4 linked regions of the Drosophila melanogaster genome follow. The protein of the gene in region 2 interacts with the protein of the main gene of each other region in a pairwise test. Each region holds a gene or a part of one and is shown on either strand. Other genes may lie near its edges. The genes, in order: lost, MESK2, CG30159 and CG14424.

Region 1 (7,579 bases), on a different chromosome or scaffold from region 2:
ATGTTCCTGCAAAATGGCAGCATGAAGCCCAGCGAGCGTGACGAGCAGGGAGCATACCTGATTGATCGAAGTCCTCGATATTTCGAGCCGATCATCAACTACCTCCGCCACGGACAATTCGTATGCGATTCGAACATCAGTGTGTTGGGTGTTTTGGAGGAGGCGCGGTTCTTCGGAATCTTTTCGCTTGTCACCCATTTGGAGGAACGCCTGGGACAGCAGGAGACGCCGCTGGGGGACAGACCATTGACGCGCAACGACGTCATCAAGGCCATCATTCAGACCTCCGTGATAACGGAGCTGCGCTTTCAAGGCGTTAATCTGTCTGGGGCCGATCTACGAAAGCTAGATTTTCGCAACATTAACTTCAAGGTGTGCGCAAACGAATTTCATTTCAATGCATACATTGTGTAATACAACATTTTAAGTCTTTCCAACGCCGTAACACGACTGCATTTTAATATTATTGTAGTTTGCTACGCAGTAAAGGAGATATTTTCGTCCGGAAAAAAATGGAAAATTATTGGTGGAGATCTATCAAGTTGAAGACAATAATTATACTAAAGACTATCCCTTTTCCTTCACAGTATGCCAACATGTCTCACTGCAATTTGTCCCACACCAATCTTAACTACTGCTGTCTTGAACGGGCGGATCTTCAGTACGCAAACTTGGAATGTGCCCAACTAGTGTCAGTGCGGGGACTTTGCGCCAATATGGTAAGCACAGGTTTAACAGAAAACGCTATTAAATAATCACATCATTTGTGAAACTAGTTGTAACAGATTTACGCCATCCAATTAGCTAAGAAAACTAATCTGCCTAATCTTTCAGGAAGGTGCAAACTTGCGTGGGTGTAATTTTGAAGACCCAACAGGAGTTCGAACTAATCTAGAGGGTGTTAACCTCAAAGGAGCATGTTTGGAAAGCAGCAACATGGCCGGTGTTAACTTACGTGTGGCAAATTTGAAGAACGCCAATATGAAGAACTGTAATTTGCGAGCTGCGGTGTTAGCAGGTGCCGACTTGGAAAAATGCAATCTTTCTGGCAGCGACTTGCAGGAGGCAAATTTGCGTGGGGCAAATTTAAAGGACGCGGAGCTTACCCTAATGGTGACCCCATTGCACATGTCACAGGCCATACGATGATATCTTGGTTGGCACCTATCACTAATATTACTGTTATTGACTGTACATACTTAAAAGTTTAATAGTAGGTTATAAAATAAACAGTATTAGGATTGAATTTCTAAAGTCGTGTGTATTATTCTTATTCCTTACTCGTAGAGTAAAAAAGTATACTAGATTCGTACTAGAAAAGTATGTAACAGGCAGATAGCAGCGTTTCCGACTATATAAGGGATATATATTATATATAATCCGGATCAATAGCCGAGTCTATCCGTCTGTCCGTATAAACGTCGTGATCTCAGGAACTATAAAATCTAGAGGTTGGGATTAAGCATACAGATTTTAGAGACGCGGCTCACGTTTGTTGACCCATGCTGCCATGCCCATTCTAATGCCCACAAACCGCACAAAACTGTGACGCCCACACTTTTAAAAAATGTGTTGATATTGTTTCATAATTTAATTAGTCTTGAAATTTTCTATCGATTTGCCAAGAAACTTTTTACCACACCCATTCTAACGCCCTAAAAACGCATTCCCACTGGCTGAGTAACGGGTATCTGATAGTCGGGGAACTTGACTATAGCGTTCCCTCTTGTTTTTTTTAATGAAATTTCGCGTTCGCATTCACACTAGCTGAGTAACGGGTATCTGATAGTCGGGGATTTCGACTATAGCATTCCATCTTGTTTTTTTTGTTTATTACATAGTCTTAGTCGCATCACTAAAGATTCTTTTATATTTTTATATAAAACATTCCTTAGGGACCTTGCAGAAGAGTTACATTTAGAAAATCCTAAGCCGGGGCAGGAGCCTGTGTTAATTATAGTTTATCCTTCGATTCCTTTATCTACAAGAAACATAAATAAAGAAAATAATATAAAATTTATCTATTTTTAGTTTTTAATACCTTATTCGCAGTGATCACAGCTTACAATTTTACCGAACTATCTGGGTGGTACTCGATGTTTATTAAAATAATATATAACAATTGAAGCGAAAAAAGATGATGGACTTGCATGTAGATCTAATGTATATTGTCGGTGGCGTGTATAAGCTCAGATGTATAACTTTTATTATATTTTTAGCTAGAACCATCGCAAGCAACTCTATACGAAATGTATCGATGTATCGCATCGGCGATGTTTTTTTACGTCACCAGAGAAACGTCAATTTTCAAACGTGGTTTGTTGGAAGCCAGCGGAGAACGGTAGACGTTGCTTGTGAACTGTGAACTGTGTAGCCGTAGCCTGAGCCGGTAAAAAATTGTGAGCAGAACTAAAACACAATTGGCGAGCGATTCGATGGAGGACCAAAGCAACGCAGCCCCCGCTGTCGCCGCGGAGAACGGCGGAAACACCGCGCAGGAGGTGTCTTCGACAAGTAAGTGGCCTGCCCTACTACCCCGCCCGCTCGCCGACGAAAATTGCGTGTAATTCTCGCGAGTGCTGGTGATTCCATAAATGTTTTGCGCCGCGCCGCGCCTTGCTCGCTGGGCATCCAAAGTGAATACCCATGTTCCAGAGGGGCAGGTGCCCGATTCAGCCATTTTCTAGGTGCCAGTGTAGAAGCGGAAGATTGTCGAATTCCGCCATATTTATTTCTAGGAGACCCTAGCTGTAAATAAGAGTTGCCGAAACGCCGAAGTTGCTTGTTGTTGACACTAATTACGTCATCTTTGCGCGCATTCTTCCCACAATTACAAAAAGTGAAATGAATCATTTTCGGTGCTCTTGGCCGATTTCGATTTCGAGATTCTGTGCTCGCAGTGTCAATTCACCCGCTCGCTTGCGCCCCGCGCTGCCCGACACCACTACACGCTCGCGGCACTGCTCATACGAATACATATTAATTGAGAAATTCGCGAGTCGATGCGCTCATCGCCCAGAAATGTGTGCGTGCGAGTGTGTGCGTGTCGAAGCGTTGCCAACTTATTGGTCATGCGTTAATATCGGGATATGGGTTCTTAATTTGTATTTCTCATTGAACCCGCCAAGAAAGACGGCCGAAATAGTTTTAGCGGCCAATTCATACTTCAGTTTCAATTCAACAAGCGCACACACATGCATGTTGACGTGTGTTCTTTAACCAGCACAGGTGGCAACCCTGCCGTCCCGATTTTGCATGCAGATTTTTGTTTTCAATGATACGGGCCGGCGTTTGCTGGTGTATGTTTGGGTCACTTTCACATCTGATTACTGGGCGTGGAAACCGGTATATCAGCCGCGGTATCACTTTTAGTCCAGCGCCAACTAGCGTGATAACACGCGTTCATTACAGACGATAAGGGCAGCGGCTGTGTTGCTATTCAGCACATTTGATTCGCACTTTTACAGTCAACCTCCCCTAACAAAAACTAACATGTCCGAGAAGTTGGGGAATCGCTTGGGTCCGCACGTTATCATACCTACAGATCAGCTCTGGAATGGAATGTGGCTTGATTTAATGAAGGCTAGCTATCACTAACACAAATACAAATGAGCTCACCGCTGCAATAAACTAAAATATGTTTCTTTTAGTCATCTGTTTATGTTATTGGAGCATATTATTGTAACAAACATGTCGTTACAGCTCAGCCCATAGAGCCCACAAAGCGCTCGCTGCGCGTGCAGACCTGGAAAAAGATCCAAGAGGGCAAGGTTGGCATTGGATTCAACAACATATTTAACCGAATTCCTTCGTTCGTGGGTGCCGATAAGGCTGCTGCCTTGTTTGCCAATGAAGAGGAGTTCAAGAAAGCACGTAAGGGAGTACCACAGCCCCGTTTTCAGTGCACCAATTATCACTCTTTCCCGTATTGCAGAGCACATCAAGGTGAACATCGATCGCGTCTTGCATGAGTTTAAGGAACTGGCATTGCTGGCCGACAAGTCCGTATACTTGCCCAGCACCCGCGAATCTTCTGCACTGTGCCTAAAGGTAGATGTGCTGGCCGATGCCACCGAGGAGCAGAAAAAGGAGGCTCTGCGCGTTCAAGATATTCAAAAGTTTCGCTCGGAAATTGGATTGGACAGCGGTCTGAAGCTGGACATCGTGGTTATTGGCTCTGTTGTAGTGTCACGCGAGGGTTACCGCATTGGACGCGGAAATGGTTTCGCTGATCTGGACATCGGCCTCCTTATTGAACTGGGAGCCATTACACCGAAGACAATTATTGTCACAATCGTGCACGACATGCAGGTGGTGGACTCACTGCCCCCGAATCTATTCCAGAAGTACGATACGCCAGTTGATATCATTGCAACACCCACAGAAATAATCAGGGTGCCAAAGCGCTTGTCTTTCCCCAATGGCGTTTACTGGGAGCTGCTGTCCGAGCGCCGTCTAAAAATATTGCCCGTGCTGCAGCAGCTTAAGGAAAGGGAGGAGAAGGCGGGAAAATCCATATCCCTCAAGGAGGAAGACACCGATGTGGAGCAACATCAAAACAACAGACGCCGCCGTGGGCCTGTGCGCCGGCGCATCCAACGAGGAAACCCAGGTCGCACCACTTCGCAGACTGACAACGAACAGCCGCAGGGCGTAAGTCGAATCCACCACACTGTCGGCACTATTGAGTAACTTTTAACTCTGCATTTTTAGGAGACTGCTCAGAAACGCACTCCGCGGCGCAAAGGTCGTTTCGTCAATCGCCGCAGACGTACAACTAAGGTAAGTAGCTTAAATATGACAGCCGAAGCCAGCCTAATCAACGTAATTTTAGTCTGAGGGCGATCAGTCTGGTGTGGAAGCAGGTGCTAAAACTGATGATCGTAAGTTACCAGAGGCTGGCACTGATGAGCGTCGTTCAAAGAAGAACAAGAACAGTGATTTTTGCATTAAGTTGACAAATCTGTCTCGTGATATTCGCGTCAAGGACTTAAAGTCGGAGCTCCGCAAACGCGAATGCACTCCGATGTCAATTTCTTGGAAGGGTATGTCACTTATATTTGGTTTAAAAGCTCTACGCTAACTATACCTTCTCTTTAGGACACTTCGGAAAGTGTTTCCTGCACTTTGGAAACCGCAAGGGGGTTCCCAGTACCCAGGACGACATGGACAAGGTGTTGAAGTCTCTCAACGATCTCTCGCTCACCATTACCACTGGTGGCGAGACAGCCCCAGCTGCCGCCGCAGGGGAGGGCGGTGAGAAAGCAGAGTCAGCTGAGACTGCAACGCCTGTGCAGACCAAGACTATTCTCGTCAACGTAGAACTGATCCAATTTGGCGAGAAGAAAAGTGCTAGCTCCACTGGTGCCAATGCCGGTGCAGGCGAGGATGGAAAAGCAGACGCGCAAAACGGAGGGGAGGCCGTAACTGTGGCAGGAGGCGACGTGGGTGGTGCACGCATCGAAGCTGTCGACACCACCACAGTATAGTATGACTTTGCGCTTGGCGCAGCCAATGAACGGTCGCGGCGGACTTCCGCCGACAGCGCAATGTTTGGAGTTCAACGAAAAAAAGTAACATTTTGTTTAGAAAAAATCGGGAAATACCAAACAAAAAACAAATAGAAAGCGAACTCCGAACAAACACAAAGTACACTCAAAATACACACTCACTAAATACACGCTGGCAATTACACTTGTGCATACACTGAATATCATGTTTTGCAGCTTGTAGTTTCTTCTTCTCCGTCATTATTCTAACCAACAAGAAAATCAAACGCAACTCTTTCTAACGAGAACACAAATCATTGACGCTTTTTCTAAACAATTGCATTTGTTTTTTGCCTAAGAAAATTAAAACGATTGCAGAAATACTCGTTCCACAAATGCAAAGTGGAACACCATTTCTTCTAAATAATCCTTTTACTAACTTCTTGTGACTTGTTACAATTCTGAATTAGAACTTCTGAATATTTGTTAATTTGATTTCACACCTCAGCAATAAGATCGTTTTGCTGTATCTCTGTTAAGCAGTTGAGCTGCTAGTAATAGGGCTTGAAGTTGAGTGCGTTGAAGTTGAAGTAATGTTCTAAAATGTAATACTAATAGGAATGCCCTATAAATGAGAAATACCGCGAGTAAGAAAAAATGAATTAACAAAATATTTACATGTTGCATTTGGTTAGTCTTTTCCAACTTTCACCGCAAACATCAATAAATTTAATAATATTTTTAACAGAAGAACAAGAAATGTGTGAAAGCAAGAATTATACAATGCAGAACATAATTATACAAGGCAGAACATAATTATTTACCCTTTTTTTATACACAAAAGGCATTACAAAAAAAAAATATGAAACATGAATGAAATATAACTTGAAATAAAAATTAAAAAAATCGTAAAAATAAACTTGACCGAAAATTACCCGTTTATTTTGCTTTTAGACTTAAATCTAATATGTACAAAGGTAGCTTAGACCTATTTTATTTAAAAGTTATAAAATGTCATAGTTCTGTATATAATATGCGCATGTACACAAAATGAAGTTTACAGGAGTTCGAAAAATAGGTTCTGGTCTTTATGGATGGATGGCTGACAAGTCATCGTTGCGCAAGTGGGTCTGGTTCTTGTGCAGTTTGAAACCTGTTGCTTATCAACCGCGTCCTAGGTTTTATTTTTGAAACGGACTCTGCGGCATGTCAAGTCTGCTGCCAGCCGATTCTTTAATCTGCGGTGAAGGAGTGCGATCAATGAACTCAATACTCTCGCCCTTTAACTGGGCGACTGCGGATGATGCGGTCGCACAGTCGCCGTCGTGCACAACGCAGGCGGCGGGTTTCTCTTGGATGGGGGCCAAGCTGTTCACGATGGAGTTGGCCATGGCCAGTTCCAGTTCGCGCTGCCAGTCGTTTTCCTTTTGTTCCATGGCTTTGCGCTTCAACTCCTTGTAGCGGTTGTAAACGATGAACTCTTTGACCAGTGCAGTCTCTGGATCGCTGTCGCGTTGTGCTGACCTCTGCTTGGCCAGGCGCTTCTTCTTTTTATGCAAGGGCCGCGATTCTACAATCATTTCCTCCAGTTCTAGGCAAGGATCACAGTTGAGGTGGTCTTCGGGAGGTTTATAGATGGGTTTGATCTTCTTCTCGAGCACCCTCTGGAAGTCAATGTTGCGCAACATGGGCGTTTGATGCAGCTCCTGCCTTGTACTGATCCTAGCACCCGGATAGGTGGAAAGTAACTACAATAGTCATAAAGTGTGTGTTAGTGTGTTAAAACAGTGCGATCCAACCCACCCTCTGCAGCAGATCGACGAAGTTGCTGCTCCAGTAGCGCGGATAGTGCACGGGGGTGTTCAATATATTCTTGATCTCCGCTAGTGGGGTGTTCGAGTGCACAACGAAGGGTCGGATGTTTCCCCGCATTTCGTAGGCGACGACTCCAAGTGACCACCAGTCCACCGGATAGCTATAGCCAGCTGAAATTATATGGAGACAAAAGAGTACTCTATAAGCGATGATAGCCTTGGAATTTGGCCAGGCGATGGTCACTGATGTTGTCTTATTGATGGTAATGAGCAAGA
Region 2 (6,004 bases):
TTATTGCTCATTTAGCTGCAATGGTAACTGCATAATTTAGCCATTCGAATTGAAACTTTAGTCATAAAATCACGACGTAAAATGAAGAGAATGGCATAAGTCGTGACTTCCAAATGGAACGATGCATCGCTTTTATGGTTTCCAGCTATCTTATCTTGGTAGCTGCGATTCAAACTGGATTCTTGACTCTCCAATATCTTTCGAAACATCTCATCAAGCCTTATCTTTGGTTAAACAAATAACTAAGTTAAGTAAGTAAGTACAGTGAAATCATACAAGACAATTCTTTTATCAACTGTTATTGAAAGGAACATGCTTGATTTCAGCTGATCAAATAAAATGACCAACTTTTATGGCATAATTACTGGTTTTATCAACCATATAACTGATGAATAATCACACAAAAACAACAATGATTTGTTGCCCTAGTCTGAAAACCTAAACACAAATGACACCGCATTTAAAGTTGCCAAGTACATGGGCACTCGCAAATTCCGCGGCCATCCTTCGCCACTAAAAAAGCTGTTAGTCTAGCTCAACTTTGACCTTTTGCTGCTCGATTTATGGGCGCTGATAAAGTTGCGCTTGCACTTTTCACCTCGACCACACGAAATGGTATATGATATAATGGGCCTAGCGCCATATTTCTACATATATATGTACATATAATGTAGTAATGTATAATGTACTATAGGCTTATTGGTGGCAAGCGATTTATCAGCGGCATCTGGGCCACTTCAATTCCAATAATTGCAGCCCAGCGTGTGCCATTTATGGCGAATTATTCATAATTGCGATTGCACGTGAAGAGTGCAGAGGAGGAGCTTGAGGTGCAAGCAGCGTGGAGCCATTGAAATTAGCCATCGGCTAGAGTGGGACGGCGACAGGCGAACGACGTGCCCTGGCTTTTCCGTTTTTCCGGCCCGGAGCGAAAGGAGCGCACGGAATATCGACAATTTGGCAGGTCGCCCACGGCAACCGTTGGCAGGTCAACGGGCAACAACAAACCGAAGCTCAAGACAGCAATCTGAACTCAATCTACTGCTGAACTGTGTACTTGATTGGGATTCAATGCTACTTCGGATTTACCGACTCAGAAGACTAAATAATTACGATTTTTTTTCTTCTGAGAACAAAAGTGATTTACATAATCCTTGAGCTTTTGATTTGCTTTAAATGTATCTTTTTCTACTTAGACGTGAAAAGAGATAATTTTAAAGGAAGTCTGCTGTAGTTACATACATAATTCATTGTTAAATTATCATTTAATACGTTTAATGGCTCTTGTTTTTTGTAAGATCTTTCAGTGTTCGATTTCCTTGGAAGGTGGCTAACAACAAGTTCTCTGCTGCCCCTAAAAATACTTGCTCAACTATTGTATTGACTGCAATTTGTCCGAGTCCTTCAAGGATATCGCCTCCGATGTGGGAGGGGGTACAAATTTGCAAAACAGAAATTATTCAAATGTTCTTTGGGGGGCGGAGAGACAAGATACCCCATCGGTAGGGGGCGTGGCAGGGGTTCTGGGGCACCGACAACGGCAGCAAATCACATACAGGAAATGTCACGCTATGTCAAGCCGCAGGCCAGCAGGAAAAAAAATCGTACAGCCGAAACGAACCAAATCACACGCTCAACGTCAGAGCGTGTTGTTGCAGGATATGGGAGAATATCAGTTGGGTAGGTGGGAGGCTAGGGGCGTGGCACGGTGGGGCAATGAGGGGCGGCGCAGGTTGCCCTACTGTTACGTGTTTGCAATCGATTTGAAAGTTACATAAAAACAGAGCCGCAGCAGACCAAGGGCAGAAAAGGGAGAAGGTGCCAGGGAAGTTGGTAAACACCTGAGTGGCCAACAAGAGCGTCAACAACAACAACAACAAGAACAACAACAGGAGCAGCAACAAGGCGCCAAAAGCAATTTGTGCGGCGAACTTTTTATTGTGTTTGCCTTCTGAGTAAACTGACCTACGCATTAAACATGCAGGAAAGTTAAACATCAGATATAGATACGTATACATACATGTATGTACTGGACTCAGATACTCAGGAGGACGAGACGAAATCCTGTCCATGGCGATGGCGCCGACAGGTTACAGTAGAGCCGTTAAAGTGGAGTCCTCACCCATTCATTTCCACACCCAAAAACCGCTAGAAGCAATAAAATTTCACAAAACAGCGAATAACAAATGTCTGCAGGAACAGTAAACACTGCCAATAGGTAAACCAATTAGGGCAACTATTAGAGATAACAGTCAAGTCGCTTTTAATGAACAACCCCATTATTCCATTTCGCTTTTCCTTTGTTTAGTTAGGAAAATTGGTCGACTATTGTCTAGAAAATCAACTCGAAGTTGATTTGAGGTTTTTTTGCGAATTGCCTAGATCGTCAAATTTCTTATTTAACTTAATTGCAATTCAGAATATGGAAAAAAGGTGTAGGAATCAAGGAAACCTACTAATTTAGAATCCCAGGACAACATGCAACCGCACTTTTTTTTACTGGCATAACTTGGTTTTCAGCACACAGGCTTCACTGTGGCAGCTGCTGAAATGATTGCGGCGAAGTTTTCTGGAGGTCGTTTAGAGTGGAAAAGCGCCAGCTCCGAGAGAGGGAGAGCGATAAAGAGGAAGAGAGACGGAATGGAGCGAAGGGGAGGGCAGCAGGGGTCCATTACGTCAGAGCCAGAAGCCATTTGGGTTTTGTCAAAAATTAGCAGTTAGGAAAAGCGAGGAAAACCCAAACGAAACCAAAGCCAAACATACACAAAAAAAAAACGAATAACGAATAAAAACGAACATCATAAATGGATGAATTAGTACAGATATGGCGAGCAACAAGAACAACAACGACAAAAACGTGCATACAACAACTAACTGTTAACTAAGTAAAAAGAAGAGTGCGCAAAATATACAATAGTGCTAATTGAAAAACAGATACTGGGATGCAAATGAAAAGTTTTAGATGAGGCAGTGTGTTTTCTTTTCTTTTTAATGGGGGCGAGCGCAGAGAGAGAGAGACAGGATAAGACAGAGAGAGAGAGAGAGAGAGAGAGAGGGAAGAGTAATAGATAACTGCAACAAAACAAATGCAAGCGGAGCGAGAGGGAGGGGAGTAGGATTAGAACTGGTTAATGTTATCTTCCAGACCCGCCCCTCTCTTTCACACCTTTCCAATTGGCATTTGTTTTGTTGTCTGTTTGGCACTTGTATGTATGTTAATTGTGCCCGTTGTGTGCGGTAGTGTAGGTGTGAGTGCAGGTGTGTGCGTGGTTGGATTTAAAAAACTCACCTGACGCTTTCCGTTGCTTTTTCTTCTATTCTTTTGTAGGCCTCAAAATTGAGATAAAAACTACTACCGCTTTTTACCAACGCCTTCTTTTTGGCTAACAAAAAGAGACCGTTGTTTTAACTGCACTGTCTATGAAAAAATCAATATTCGGTCTCGACCAACTTTTTTCTTCACCTTTTCTTTTACAACTTGTGTAATTTCTGTGCTCGTTCTGTTTCATTCACTTATTCTCTCGCTCTCGCGCGCACGCACACACACACACACGCCCGCTGTTCGCGATTGCCAGTAATTTTCGGGGATCAATTTCTTGTAATTTCTCCAGCTGCTTTCAAGTCTTTAATTCTCGGTCTCGATGCAGCGCAAAGCAAATTTGATAGTGATGGGGAGAAACATCGATGCATCGGGAATCGATGTTTTCATATAGGTGCTATCGAGCTAGCCGATATTTTAGAAATAGTATCGCCGACCAGCGATACATCGTCGCTTATCAAAACATCGGATTCTTAAATATTTTTGACTTAAAAATGTAAATGTTACTTATTATTGGTGTCTAAAACCTTTACATTTCTTTAAAAAGGTATTTTACGATGCTTTTTTTTTCAATGTTACATTTTTGCACTTCCAATGTAATGTAATAGATAATCCAAAACCTATATTATTTTAATATATTGTGAATATTTTGCTTGTAATGCTCATAACAGCAAGCATGCGGTTGGGTAGACATAAATACCCATCACTAATCAGCTGTTTCTTGCGTCCAGAGGAAACGTCGTGCGTTTGGCGTTTGATTGAGTCAAATTCAATTTGTTAACTAAATTCTTTCGTGCAGAACTGGATAGCTGATCGAAGAAATCCGTAAGCCAGGCTCACATGCATCAAAACACATCGGCCAGCTAGCAAAATCCGATTTCTTATTTATACTCCAATTACAGACATGCCGCGACGCTATCAAACAGCTCTCAATTCGGCCAAATACAGTGCCCAGGTCAAGACCAAAACTAGTGACAACGAATCCGATTCCGAAGATGATCTTCCGCCGGATCAAGATGCTGAGGATAACAATGAGCCAGATAATCTGCGCAGCATTTTGGAAAATGCGCCGCACTTCTCTTATCCCGGCTTGAACACTGGAATGTTGGGCCAACTCTTGTACGATCATCAGGATAATCCGAAGCAGGACTTGCCAAATTGCTCGGTTACGGTGCCGCTACCCCTCTTCCTGGCAAAGGATGGACAAACTCCCCGAGTGGAGGCATGCGTCCAAAGGCCATTCCGCTACGACGATTGGACACGGCAATTGCAATTAGGCAAGGCTATATTTGATAGGCGACTTAAAAATATGAGACAGCGTGTACAGAAGCAGGAGCAAGGTGTACACGATGCCAGTCTGTTTGAGATGGCTGAGCACATAGCCCAACAGGAGAATTCCTTCTTCAGGGACAGCTACGATTACTACTACACAGGCGGAAACCTAAACACGATTCCGTTTGATGGAAACGATCAGCTGGCCATGCATGTCAGCGGTAATAAGCTCAGAGATTTGCACTTTTCCCGAGATTATGGTGAGGCGGAGTTTTGGCAACCATTGCATTCGGCTACGATAGAGGAATCCTCCAGCGAAGTCTTTGAACTTCTTCCGCTCCACAATTTAAATCGCAGTCAAATGTTCCTGGCACGGTTGCTGAAGGAGGTTTCCCTATACGAACTTAAATGCAAAGACGAACAGGATTCGGATTCAGATTACGAACTCATTCGCCATTGCATGTTTAGCAGTCAAGTAGCTCCTTTTACAAGCGCTGCACAATCATTGGCCAATGCCAATACATTGGCCTTAGCTAGCCAGGATAGGTCTTTGCGCTTCGTGGATATTTCGACACAACAGGATATAGCCAAGCTTGATGTTTGCTTGCTAAAAGGACTGAAGAAAACCTCGAGTACCTGGGCACAGTTAAAGCAAGCAGAGGAAAGCACCTTTCACTGCCTAACACAGCCAGTTTTGTTTACCGTAGATGTGCGATGCAATCTGCCTCTGAATCCCTGCTTTGCCAGCGGCGTTCACTCAAAAGCTTGCGAGAGGTTCTCTTGTTTGGCCAAGGGTGTGAATCCTAATCTCTTGTATGTGGCTAGTAATCACAACTTCCACTGTTTGGATATCAGATGCTTGGGTAAAAAGCTGACCGATCGAGCTGTCGTCACCTGGACGCATCAGATGACCTATCCACCCTGTTTTATTGACACAAGCGTTCACCAGGACAGTGAATATATTGCGTTAGGTGGACTCTTACCCAAAGATTTGCGAATTTGTGAACTGCAAGGAGCTCAGGCAAAAAGTGTCGATGAAATGTTCTCGCCGGCAATACCATTTGCGCCGGTAACCCTGGAAGAAGCTTTAATAGATGCTCGCTTGGGAGGATTTGTGGATGTCTATGCTGATATAGCAGAGCGGGTAACGACCTGCATTACAGGAATGCGCTTTATTGGCTTAGAGGGGGCCAGTGATCAAGCTTTTACCCAGTTGCTAACCTCCAACAGCTTGGGAGATGTTTACTGCCAAAGACTAACGCTTAGGGATGAAGAGGAGCATGTCCAGCAGATCAGAACCGGAACTCATACAACGGAAGCCATTCGCTACCTTGCCAATGCCGTTAATGAGCGCGTCCAACGCGAGAACATCCGCTGCACACAAGTCCAGTCGATACCAGAGATAAGAGACAT
Region 3 (5,215 bases), about 15 Mb from region 2:
ATGGGCAAAAATTCCCCCAAATGATGCCAGGACCTGGTGGACTCCATGCTGCGTGGGTGTAAGGCTGTGCTGGCTAACAAAGGCTATCCAGCCAAGTATTAGGCCCGAATTAACGTATTAAAAAGAAAAACTAAGTTAGTTCTAGGTCAAGTTGAATTTTGTTACTGTTTTTTTCAATATTTACATTGAAAACCAGAGTTTCTACCTATTTTGTTGTTTTAATCTATATTTTCGAAACTATTGAAGAAATAAAAGTGAAACATTTGTTAAATTGTTTAAAATTAAATACCTAATGATATTATAAAAAAAAAAAATCCCATTAAAACTGTAAATCCTAGGAATTTTTGATCTTAAACTCTCAGGTCCAAAGCACTGCTATTTTTATGAACACAGCTGTATATATAGAAAATATTTGCTAAAGTAACTACTACTCTTGCGATTTATGAAAACGGATTCATTCAACCACTTTTATGACGAATTTCATTGTATTAATATCTCAATACTGTAGGTCTGAGAAAAATGATACATTCTGTTTGGTCAGCTGCAAGTTGAGTATACTGACAGAAAAAAATATTTCAATAATGTGCGAAAGGAATTTTGACTGAAAACGCTGAGAATGATCTTTTGTTTGAGTGAGATTGATTTCACAGTAGTTTTACTTTCTGTGTACATGCTAATTTGATACCCCGCACCCATGGGAAGCAGCTTGAGGTTTTTCCGCGGCATTAGTGCATTTTCGAAATTGCTCGAGTGTGACGCATGCAGATCTCAATCTCGACCACGGGCTTTTCGTCGCCAGCGAGTGTCCCTCCCCTTGGAAGGCAATCTCACTTATGTCATTCATTTGACGCTAATTCGACATTTACAGAAAGTATTTGCTCGAGGAAGATAACCAGAAGTGCAAGCAAATGATTCATAATTGATTCTATTTTGACAATAATTGGGAAGACAGCACTGTAGGAAAAAGGGGGCAATATGATCATATTCCAAATAATATGAATATTGATCATTTTAATTTCAAATTGTGTATATTCTTAGTAATCATATTGTATGTATGGCTTTTCCATTTGGGAAAATCCGTATGAGTTATATTTTATTCCTAAGAATTCGTGTTGCATTCAAAATTGCTGAAACAGAAATAGCTGCAAAAAATCTTGATTTGTTCGTGCCAATTGTTACATTGCTTTAATATTTTAATCTTTAGTAAATGTGGGCAATCCATCGAGATGATCTTCAGCGCTTGTATCTATTAGATACACTTAATTTTCCATCTTTAGGGGCAATGACTCATCCCAGTACGAGTTTCATTTAGATAGTGCGATTTCGATCAATGGAGATACGAAATTCTATTTCTCTTTGTGTGCCGAGCGTTGTGGAAATACATTTAAATACGGAACAACGTGAGGTTAATTGTGCGGAGCACACTTGTTAATTAGGGAATGTCAGCGGGCGCGACAGTTGGCGCTCCCCTCACCCCTTCCCAACCCACCGAAATCCGAAAATAATGCTTCCAAGCCACGTTTTCATTGGATTACGTAAGCTGTAAACCAGTTTATGATGTTGTTGTTGTTACTGTTGTTGCCAGTGTGTGTCAAGGAAAAGCTAAACACAATTACAACGCCCTTCTGTCTGGTAATTAAAAACGGAAGCCATGCCCGAAGCCATAGTAGGCTGGCTAACGAGACCTGCACATCGGCCCAAACTGGTTGGCTTTGGCTTTAGGCCACTTTCGAGGAAAATCCGCCCACGACGAGCCGAAAACCGCAAAACACGTCCGCCAGTGGAAATCGCATCGAAAGTTTTGCGGTTTCGAGCCATTTTTCCATTAACTCGAAATTCTAGAAGATCAATTCAAATCAATGTTCATGTGAGATTTTCCTTATGAATACCTGTATTTTTATATACCGAGATACGTATGTACAAACAATCTTATCCTACAATTTCCTGTTTTTGAGGCAGCTTTATCTTATAAAAACTGTTCGAAACAAAATTATAATTTCCATATACATATCTTCAACGTGAGGTTTTTGCTCCCTTTTTTCTGTTCTTAATTTTCCTATTGGCCAGGCAATAGTGCATTTGCATAAATAAAACATTTATTGGTAGTAAAAGTTAAACAAATATGTACGTAATTCCCGAAACATTTCAAATTTGCATAAATAAACAAACGCGATTGGTAACAGAGAGCGGAAAAACAAGTTACAGTAATTACCGTTGGGAGGGGGTGACGAAACAAACCAAAACAAAACGAATTATGCTCGTGTGAGTGTGCGCGACGCAACAGGTTGAGGCTGCTTGGCGCAGCTTTTGACCGATCAGTTTAGTTCAGTTAGCATTGTCAACTGCTCACGAACGGTTCGAAAAGCGGAGCGCGCGTAAAATCATTCTGTAAATCATTCAAAAGGCGGAAAACTCAAGGTGTGTGTGTGGGTTTTGTTTTCAAATTCCGTGTGCTTGTGTGTGTGAGAGAGGGCGAGAGCGACAGTGTCGTAGCAGGCAGTGTTGTAAGGTGCCGAAACAGCGATCCCAACCGGCACACTAGTTGTCCTGCTCGCACTCCAGTGAGGCAAATGTCAAAGTCTGGTCAGTAGCAAAACAGAATTGCAGCCAAGAAAAGCGGAATCAGCGACAAAATTAGCCATTAGTTGGGTTTTACATATAGATTAGGCCAGCGAAACGACATAACGCTCCAAGTGGTAAAGTGAGACCTGCCAGTGGCGGCACCCAACCCGAAAAAGCCTAACCAGCGACCACTTTCCAGTTATCCAATGGAGGCGGCCAAGGATTTTGCGGTGGCCAAGTACCAGGACTTATGTAACTTCCTGGAGCGGGATACGCGCGGCAGTGAGCTGGCCATCTATGGCACCTCGGCCATCATGCTGGCCGTGGCCTATGCCAAACGGAAGCCGGCCTACCTGGTGCGCCAGTTTAAGCAGCCCTCGCACATCCCGGAGCGCCTGATCAACGAGCGCGTCATGCACACGGGCAAGATCGCCGGGGTCAAGCAGCAGGAGCAGGACACCCTGCTGATGATCCAGCACCGGCCGCTTTTCCCGATCTTCACTAGCAGCAAACGCCTGCTGCCCGTCAAACTGCCGGGCGTGCGCGTCAATGCCAACGGCTACTCCTGGCTGCAGCAGTGTCTCATTGGGCGCGAGGCCACCTTTCTGCCCCTTAAATCCGCCAAGGGACAGGACTTTGTTGTCTGCCAGCTGTGCCTGGTCCATCCGCCGAGGGGCAACCGCCTGCTGGACGTCTCGGAGACCCTGCTCAAGCTCCGCTTCGCCCGATTCGTGCAGGATGCCGCCGCCGCGGTTAAGAAGAACGGGAAGTACTACCAGCATCTGAAGAAGGTGGAGCAGACCACAGCGGAAAAGGAGGCCTGGCTCTCCTGGGCCGCCGGCTATCCCTACATCTGGCGCCGCTACAACGAACTGAGGCAGCGCTGGTTGCCCAAGGAGAAGCTGCTGCCGGAGCTAGTGCGCTGATTGCGATCTCCCCGTTCCTGCCTCGATGCTATTTACAGGGCTACCTAGCTCGCCACCATTAACTTAGTTCCATGGCCAGCTACTCTCTATATTTTTATTATGCCTGTTTACTAGCTTGTGCATTTGTGTCTTAGTGTTGCTTGCTATCTATTGTTATACGATTGGCAAATATCATATACGATATAAGACAGCATTTGTTTACAAACCCTCGAGCACAAGTACACAAGTCAGTCTCAAAAGCTTATTAGTAAGGGGAATAGCTAGCGCGACTTGCCCAACGCGACTTTCGATGCCCAGGCGGTACGTGATCGTGTGCTAATTTCCACACCCAGTAGAGCCAAGAACGTCAGCATTTTTTAAATATTCAAATAAGCGAAATGTTTTTACCACGGATGACATCAGTGCGTGTGCCTGTGTGTGTACGTGTGCGTGTTTCCCAAATAAAATGCCGAAATACCTAACTTTTCACGCTTGTATCTGAATTTCTTAATTCCATTCCATTTTTTTCGTCTCCCGAACGATCAGTTGCAGTTCTTCATCCATCTCCACCAGCAATCTCTGGCAAAACTCAGGCAAAATGAGCTGCGGAATCTCCATGGTTAAATATATCCTATTTATATTTAATTTGCTCTGTTCGGTGAGTAGCATAGATACATTTAAGATTACATAATTTCGAGCGGCCAAGCTTAGATCGACTTCTCAGCCTTTTAGGCTGGCAGTGAGATCATAACTTTCGTGCGGAATAAACTGGTTTTCCCAAAATTGGTGTTTTCAGTATTGAAAGGCTGAGAAAGTCGAGGCCCACAAAAGTGGTGAGCATGAGTACATTTTAAAGCCACAGAAGGCACTCTCGTTAAATGCATTTTTGTATTTTTGTGTTCTTTAGGTCGGCTTTCATATTTACATATCATGAAATTAAACATATCTCAATTAATGTTTATTAAGGACCCTTAAAGTAGGATCTATTATAGCATTTATGGTGTCTCTTTTCCGGTCAGCACTATCACTTTCCGGTTACGAAACGCACTGTACGTGCAAAGTGGGGGCAGAGCTTGAGATCATCATCAGTATTCCAAAACCAGTTATTAAAATTGGGCTACGTTTGTGACGTAGCGGTATCCGAAAAATTCTGTATAATTTTGTGTACACTACGTACACTTTTGTTTACTTTGGAGTCCCAAAACCAGTTTGTGTTGTTTCGGTCCCCACAACCGAGCCCCACATCCACAAACATGCATCCCATTAGTCGGAGTCAGTCCGAGGTTAACTGGTTCCAAATGGCAACCAAACAATCATTGAAACGCCAGCAACGGTGGCATTTCGATATGGTTTTGCAACTTCTAACTCACTGCCCCAAAGTCACTGCACCGCCAGGTGGAACTGTACTTCGTCCAACCAGTTTGGGGCTGGGACCCTGACTTGCTGCTGGTGGGAAATCTGACTGCGTCGGAGTACCAGCGCATTATTCGCGTCACGCAAACATGGATGTCATTCACTACGGGCGGAAAAACATCAGCACACGGCGCTAATTCTTCAATCGTATGCAGTATACGGATATAGAAAATTTACAAAACAAAACCATTTTTTGTTGATGGGAAATCGGTAAACGAGATGGATGACCTATCTACTTGAAATAGGTCATTTGATTTGTTCAAGAGTTCCAATCCGCAGTTCTCCAACCTTTTTGATAATTTAAAGTAGCTGCAATTAACTTAAGAACCAACATG
Region 4 (4,747 bases), on a different chromosome or scaffold from region 2:
GGCAAAGGGGCGATGTGCGGGGTGTATGTAGGTAAATGCACTCCCGTAGAAATAAAGTTTTGATACCCTGCTACATGTGAAAAGTTCTCAATTTCCAGTTGTTTCATATGAAAATTAATTGTGGATCGAATATCGCTCTTATTAGATTTCTAATTTTGTAAACCAAACTATGGGATTTCATAGTTGTTCATAGTATGTTCTAGTTTCCTATTTCCGGCAGATTTAGTTCATTTTTGGCATATGTTTAAGGACATTCTCTATTCGTGGTTTCACATTAGAATGGCAGGTTAACGTGTCCCATCTTTGTGGCGCTTTTGTTGTGCGGCTGCCTTTCTTTGCGCCTCGTGTGCCGTTGACTTTTGCGCCTAAGCAAAATTTGTGCCATGTGTTTTGTGGCCGCTTTGTTTGTTGGCTCAAAATTGCTGGCAGGCTGCCACACGAGGACTCTTTGGGACTGCGATTTGGACTGGGATCGGGACACCGAAACCGAAACTGAGACTGAGACTGAAACTGAGGATGGGGATGAGGATAAAGTCGAGGACGAGGCCGAGTACGAAACGAGACACAGACAGGACTTGTCACGTCAGCGGCACAAAGCCCGAGCACAAAGGCCTGATAACTGCAGTCGCCTGATAAGCAGCGCCCCAAACAAGGATCTGCCCATCTACTTGGCGACACTCGAAAAAGGGGTGGATATTTAAATGTTTATAAACATAAAACTTAGATTAATTGAACCTTTTAAAACCAGTGCTTTTTGTTGTAATAAATTGGTTGGTTTACCATTGAGACAACTTTTTTCTTTTTAAAGGTTCTTCTTTGACCCCCAATTTATCCAAGTGTGGCCTTTTTACCCCAGGGCCCACTGAAGACCCTTCGCCACCCGGAAGCACAAGTCCCTTCTTTTGTCATTTCGCTCATAACGTTAATTTATATTCAGTTCAGTCTAAAAAAAAAATGTAGAATAGCCAGTGGTAGTGTAAGTACACCTAGTACAGTGAAGCCCGTGTGACAGCCATCGAGAGAAGGAATGTGGAAGTTTGGATAGGTTGCTTGTTTAAATTAAAGGATCCTAGTTGTAGAACTGCTGGCGACGGCGCTGTGCCGGAGCGGCGGCCACAAAGCGACGTCCCGAGTTTCCGGCGGAGGAGGAGCCCTCGTTGGCGGAGTACAGAAGCAGGGGTATCTCCTCCACGCTGGTCTGCTGCTGCTGGGCAGAGTTGCGCACGCCGGAGCGGAGCAGCTCGTCGGCGGATAGGCGGCGCAGGGCGGCGGGAGCGACGGCTACAGGAGCGGCGACTGGAGCGGCTCCGTCTAACAGCTGATCCTCATCGTTCTCTGGCTGCTCCAGTACCACATCCTCGGGCTGGGCTACGGCAATGCTGTTGCCCACGGGGGCCTCGCCTTCATTGTCGGCAGCCGAGATCGAGCTGCTCTGCAGCAGAGCCTCGATGTTCTCCAGGTTGGACAGACCGTTGATCTGCAGCTGGTCGTGCAGCTCGGCAGGAATGGCGATGGCCTGGACATCCTTGTGACCGGAAATTCCATTGGGTGTCGGGATGAACTGAACGTTCTCGGGAATCTGATCGGTGGGATAGACGGGCACCAGCTCGGCCTCGTTCTCGTTGCTTGACTTCAGCAGGATCAGAGAGATGGGCACGATCTTCTTGAACTTAAGCAGAACCAGCTTCTTAATGGCCACGGCACCGGGGAAGACTCGTCCCTGGGGACCACTGTGGGGCTTCGCTATGAGGGCACGCTGCTCAAAATGCTGCCTGCGATGGTGTCCGCTCACATGGCGGGCTAATGGGATACAAAGACATGGGGTTAGGAAATAGGGTTGGCAGAAATGGTTTAAATTCGCCCTGACGAACTAGTTTAGCTTTTAATATCATCGTATATTAGGAACACATATTAAAAAAAAGTCAATGCACTTCAACAAAAGTCTGTCATTATTAACAAAGAACTATGAAAATTGCTTGTTTCTCAAAAACTATGAAAGCAATTTATTAATTAATAACCGTCACTTAATTATGATTTCGAAGAGAATGTATGATACTGATGGATATTGGAAAAGCGAACATAATTCATCAAAGATTATTTTTCGTCTCCTAAATCACCAACCAACTCACCTTCGCACGCGGCAAAGATTGCCAGTCCGATGGTCAAAAGGGCTACCAACTTAATTGCCATAATGATGTATATATGGGATCTTCTTGTGAACTTGGATTTGATGTGGACTTGGACTTGGACTTGGGCTTGGGTCTGTCGCTGGACGAGGGCCTCTATTAAATGGTCCATCAAGTGCCCGGCAAAGACATTTTATACAGGGAAGGAACATTCACCTGGCCGGCGAAAAGCAGGCAAAACAGCGTAGACACATAAAAATCACACGAAAAACAAAAGAAATTAGGTGGCCAGGCAGCAGAACAAAGTAAAATGTAGCGAAATTGGTGGGGACTTGGACGATTGGCAAATTATTAAACTATGCAAATGTCCGTCGACTGATTTATGCACAAAAACCAGTAATAGAAAACCCAAAAAGCAGAGAACCCAAAAACTCCTAACATCCCAGAGATCGCAGAACGTTGACTTCTGGTGGCTACATTTCCATTTCCAGTTGCATTTGACTCTTTACCAAAATCGAGAAATTTGCATTTTGGGTCGCCTGGAGAAATACGGAAAAATACAAAAACCGTCTGGCGAATTCTTGAGCCAATTTTGAGGTCAAAAGTGAGATTTTCAATAAGTCAAACCGTTTCCATTTGTCAATGTCCGAAGTGGGCGAGGTCTCACTGTTCTTCCCCGCAGATGTCAGAGTTCGAGGCTTATTTGGGCCACATTCATTTGCCTGCCTGTCTGCCATATAGCCATATACAAAGATATTCTTTGGCCAGCCAGCATGTGTTCCCCATTCGGATCGAGGAACGAGCATTTAAATCAATCAAGTGGATCGAGTCCATAGTGCGAAATTTATTCTTTTCTCCGCCATTCTCTGCATTGAAAGCAGGCTCAACTTAGTGCCAGAGATTAAGTGGCTAATCTATCGAACTATTAGTGATAAGCTGCGCGAAATAATGGCATGACGGATTATGGTTTTATGGAATTTATGAGTGTCTGCTCTCTTTTTTGTGTTCTTCTATTGTTGGCTAATTTAAATCAATAATCTTCCTTTTGTTTAGGACCTATGCAAAATTAAAGCTATTTTGAAAATAGCATTTAAAATGCGCCTAAAAATTGGCTGTAAAAGTGTAAATGTATTGGCCAAAAGAGTTTTGCTATAGAGAACTTTAAATTTAAATCACAGTCCGCCTGCAAAATAATGCAAGATCGTAAGAAACAACTATCTGAATTAAAATAAATTGCAATTGCTTTTGCATTTTCCTTCAAATATTACCATTATTTTCGGCTTGCAAAACAATTGTAAAGAACAATAATTTTCACAGAGCGGGTACATCGAGCTATTCCCGATATTAAATGTTAATTGAATGCCTTCAATAGTGGCTGAAATTGGAGACCAATCGATTTCCTCAGCCCTACTCAATTCCGAATTTGGGCCACTGACCACGGGTGGTATGATTAATTTATGTGCTGTATTTTTTTCGAACTCCATGTTTTTTTTGCCAGCCTCTCCGATGGTTTATCTAATTTATGTTATTGCCGCGGCAATTATTTAAATTTTCCACAGCTACCGTTGGCAGTTCTTTCTAATGACAAGGGCGGACTGGGGGAAAAAAAAAGGAAAACATATTTGCCGCCCATTATGGGCGACATAAACAAATGTTTTAATAACCAAATTATGCGAAAAAGAACGCAATGTATTCATAAGCTCGAAGAGCTGGGCGAGCAAAAGAGATCCCAGCCAAGTTATTTGATGCTAATGGAAATGCATAAAAAGATCGTAAATACTCATTAGCAAAGTGTGTGGTTTCTAGCTATGTATATGGCAAAGAAAGTTGCCCCCATGGCGGGGTCAGCACATCTCACCCAATCATTTGCGGGGTCAACATATTTTGGAAAGTTACTGTTGTAGGGAAAGTTCTATTTTTGGAGCGCGTCTAAGAAATATTCCCAAAAATTAGCACACTGATCCACATTCGATGAAAAGAAATCGCAGAGCGGAAATTACTAGTGAATTCGGGGAATTCACTTGACTTGCAATCAATCTATATCTCTTTGATATTCATTACTAATTTATGCACGTGTACAAAATGATAGCAATCAGGAAATCCGATTGATTAATTAAGCTAATGGTTCTTTTGCATAACAAGACAATGGTATTGTAAGCTATTTGAAGAAATCCTGTCTATCCTGCGTAAGAAATTATCAACTTATTGTTAATCTAAAAAATAAGTTTTAATAATATGTAGTTTTCTTTCTAAAACAGTTCATTAAATTAGCGTATGTCATATTTTGCAAAGTATTTCCTAATTAAGTGAGTCAAGTAAGTAAATTTCCTAACAAGTAAGTCAAACCAAAGTTACCCATCAGGCGTGGTCATTTAAACCATAATATGTACGGCTCTCTACACCCGAACTAGTTTTTAGAAAATATTTCGAACCGTTTAGAATCGCGACCTGCGACCCGATCTCTTTTGGCCAACGGTCAACAAACCGCAAACTGATTTACAGCCCCCAGTGGCAAAGGCAAAAAAAAAAATGGAGAGAGCTTTGCCATTCCGAATGGCTGGCTCTCTTTCTCTCTCTCTCTCTCTCCGGATCGATCGCTCTTTTTGGCAGAACATGGGCTT

Evidence for each region.
Region 1: the proteins of MESK2 (region 2) and lost interact in a two-hybrid assay, tested with the Drosophila melanogaster proteins (one large-scale study listed by BioGRID).
Region 3: the proteins of MESK2 (region 2) and CG30159 interact in a two-hybrid assay, tested with the Drosophila melanogaster proteins (one large-scale study listed by BioGRID).
Region 4: the proteins of MESK2 (region 2) and CG14424 interact in a two-hybrid assay, tested with the Drosophila melanogaster proteins (one large-scale study listed by BioGRID).

The regions. Positions count from the first base shown.
Region 1 is NT_033777.3:4,400,767-4,408,345, forward strand, and holds lost (lost), read left to right. Parts: upstream 1-2,309; 5' UTR 2,310-2,435; coding exon 2,436-2,514; intron 2,515-3,702; coding exon 3,703-3,873; intron 3,874-3,934; coding exon 3,935-4,653; intron 4,654-4,713; coding exon 4,714-4,782; intron 4,783-4,834; coding exon 4,835-5,045; intron 5,046-5,100; coding exon 5,101-5,489; 3' UTR 5,490-6,416; downstream 6,417-7,579. Other genes in the region: CG14647 (uncharacterized protein), read left to right, coding at 1-372, 588-719, 835-1,149; CG32944 (uncharacterized protein), read right to left, coding at 6,671-7,237, 7,293-7,474.
Region 2 is NT_033778.4:21,499,765-21,505,768, reverse strand, and holds the start of MESK2 (misexpression suppressor of KSR 2), read right to left. Parts: upstream 3,673-6,004; 5' UTR 3,290-3,672; intron 1-3,289. Other genes in the region: TAF1C-like (TATA box-binding protein-associated factor RNA polymerase I subunit C-like), read left to right, coding at 4,224-6,004.
Region 3 is NT_033778.4:6,990,360-6,995,574, forward strand, and holds CG30159 (uncharacterized protein), read left to right. Parts: upstream 1-2,321; 5' UTR 2,322-2,696; exon of another isoform or gene 2,697-2,701; intron 2,702-2,761; 5' UTR 2,762-2,768; coding exon 2,769-3,488; 3' UTR 3,489-3,947; downstream 3,948-5,215. Other genes in the region: Tsp42Ea (tetraspanin 42Ea), read left to right, coding at 4,066-4,125.
Region 4 is NC_004354.4:2,924,980-2,929,726, forward strand, and holds CG14424 (uncharacterized protein), read right to left. Parts: upstream 2,280-4,747; 5' UTR 2,191-2,279; coding exon 2,130-2,190; intron 1,801-2,129; coding exon 1,070-1,800; 3' UTR 905-1,069; downstream 1-904.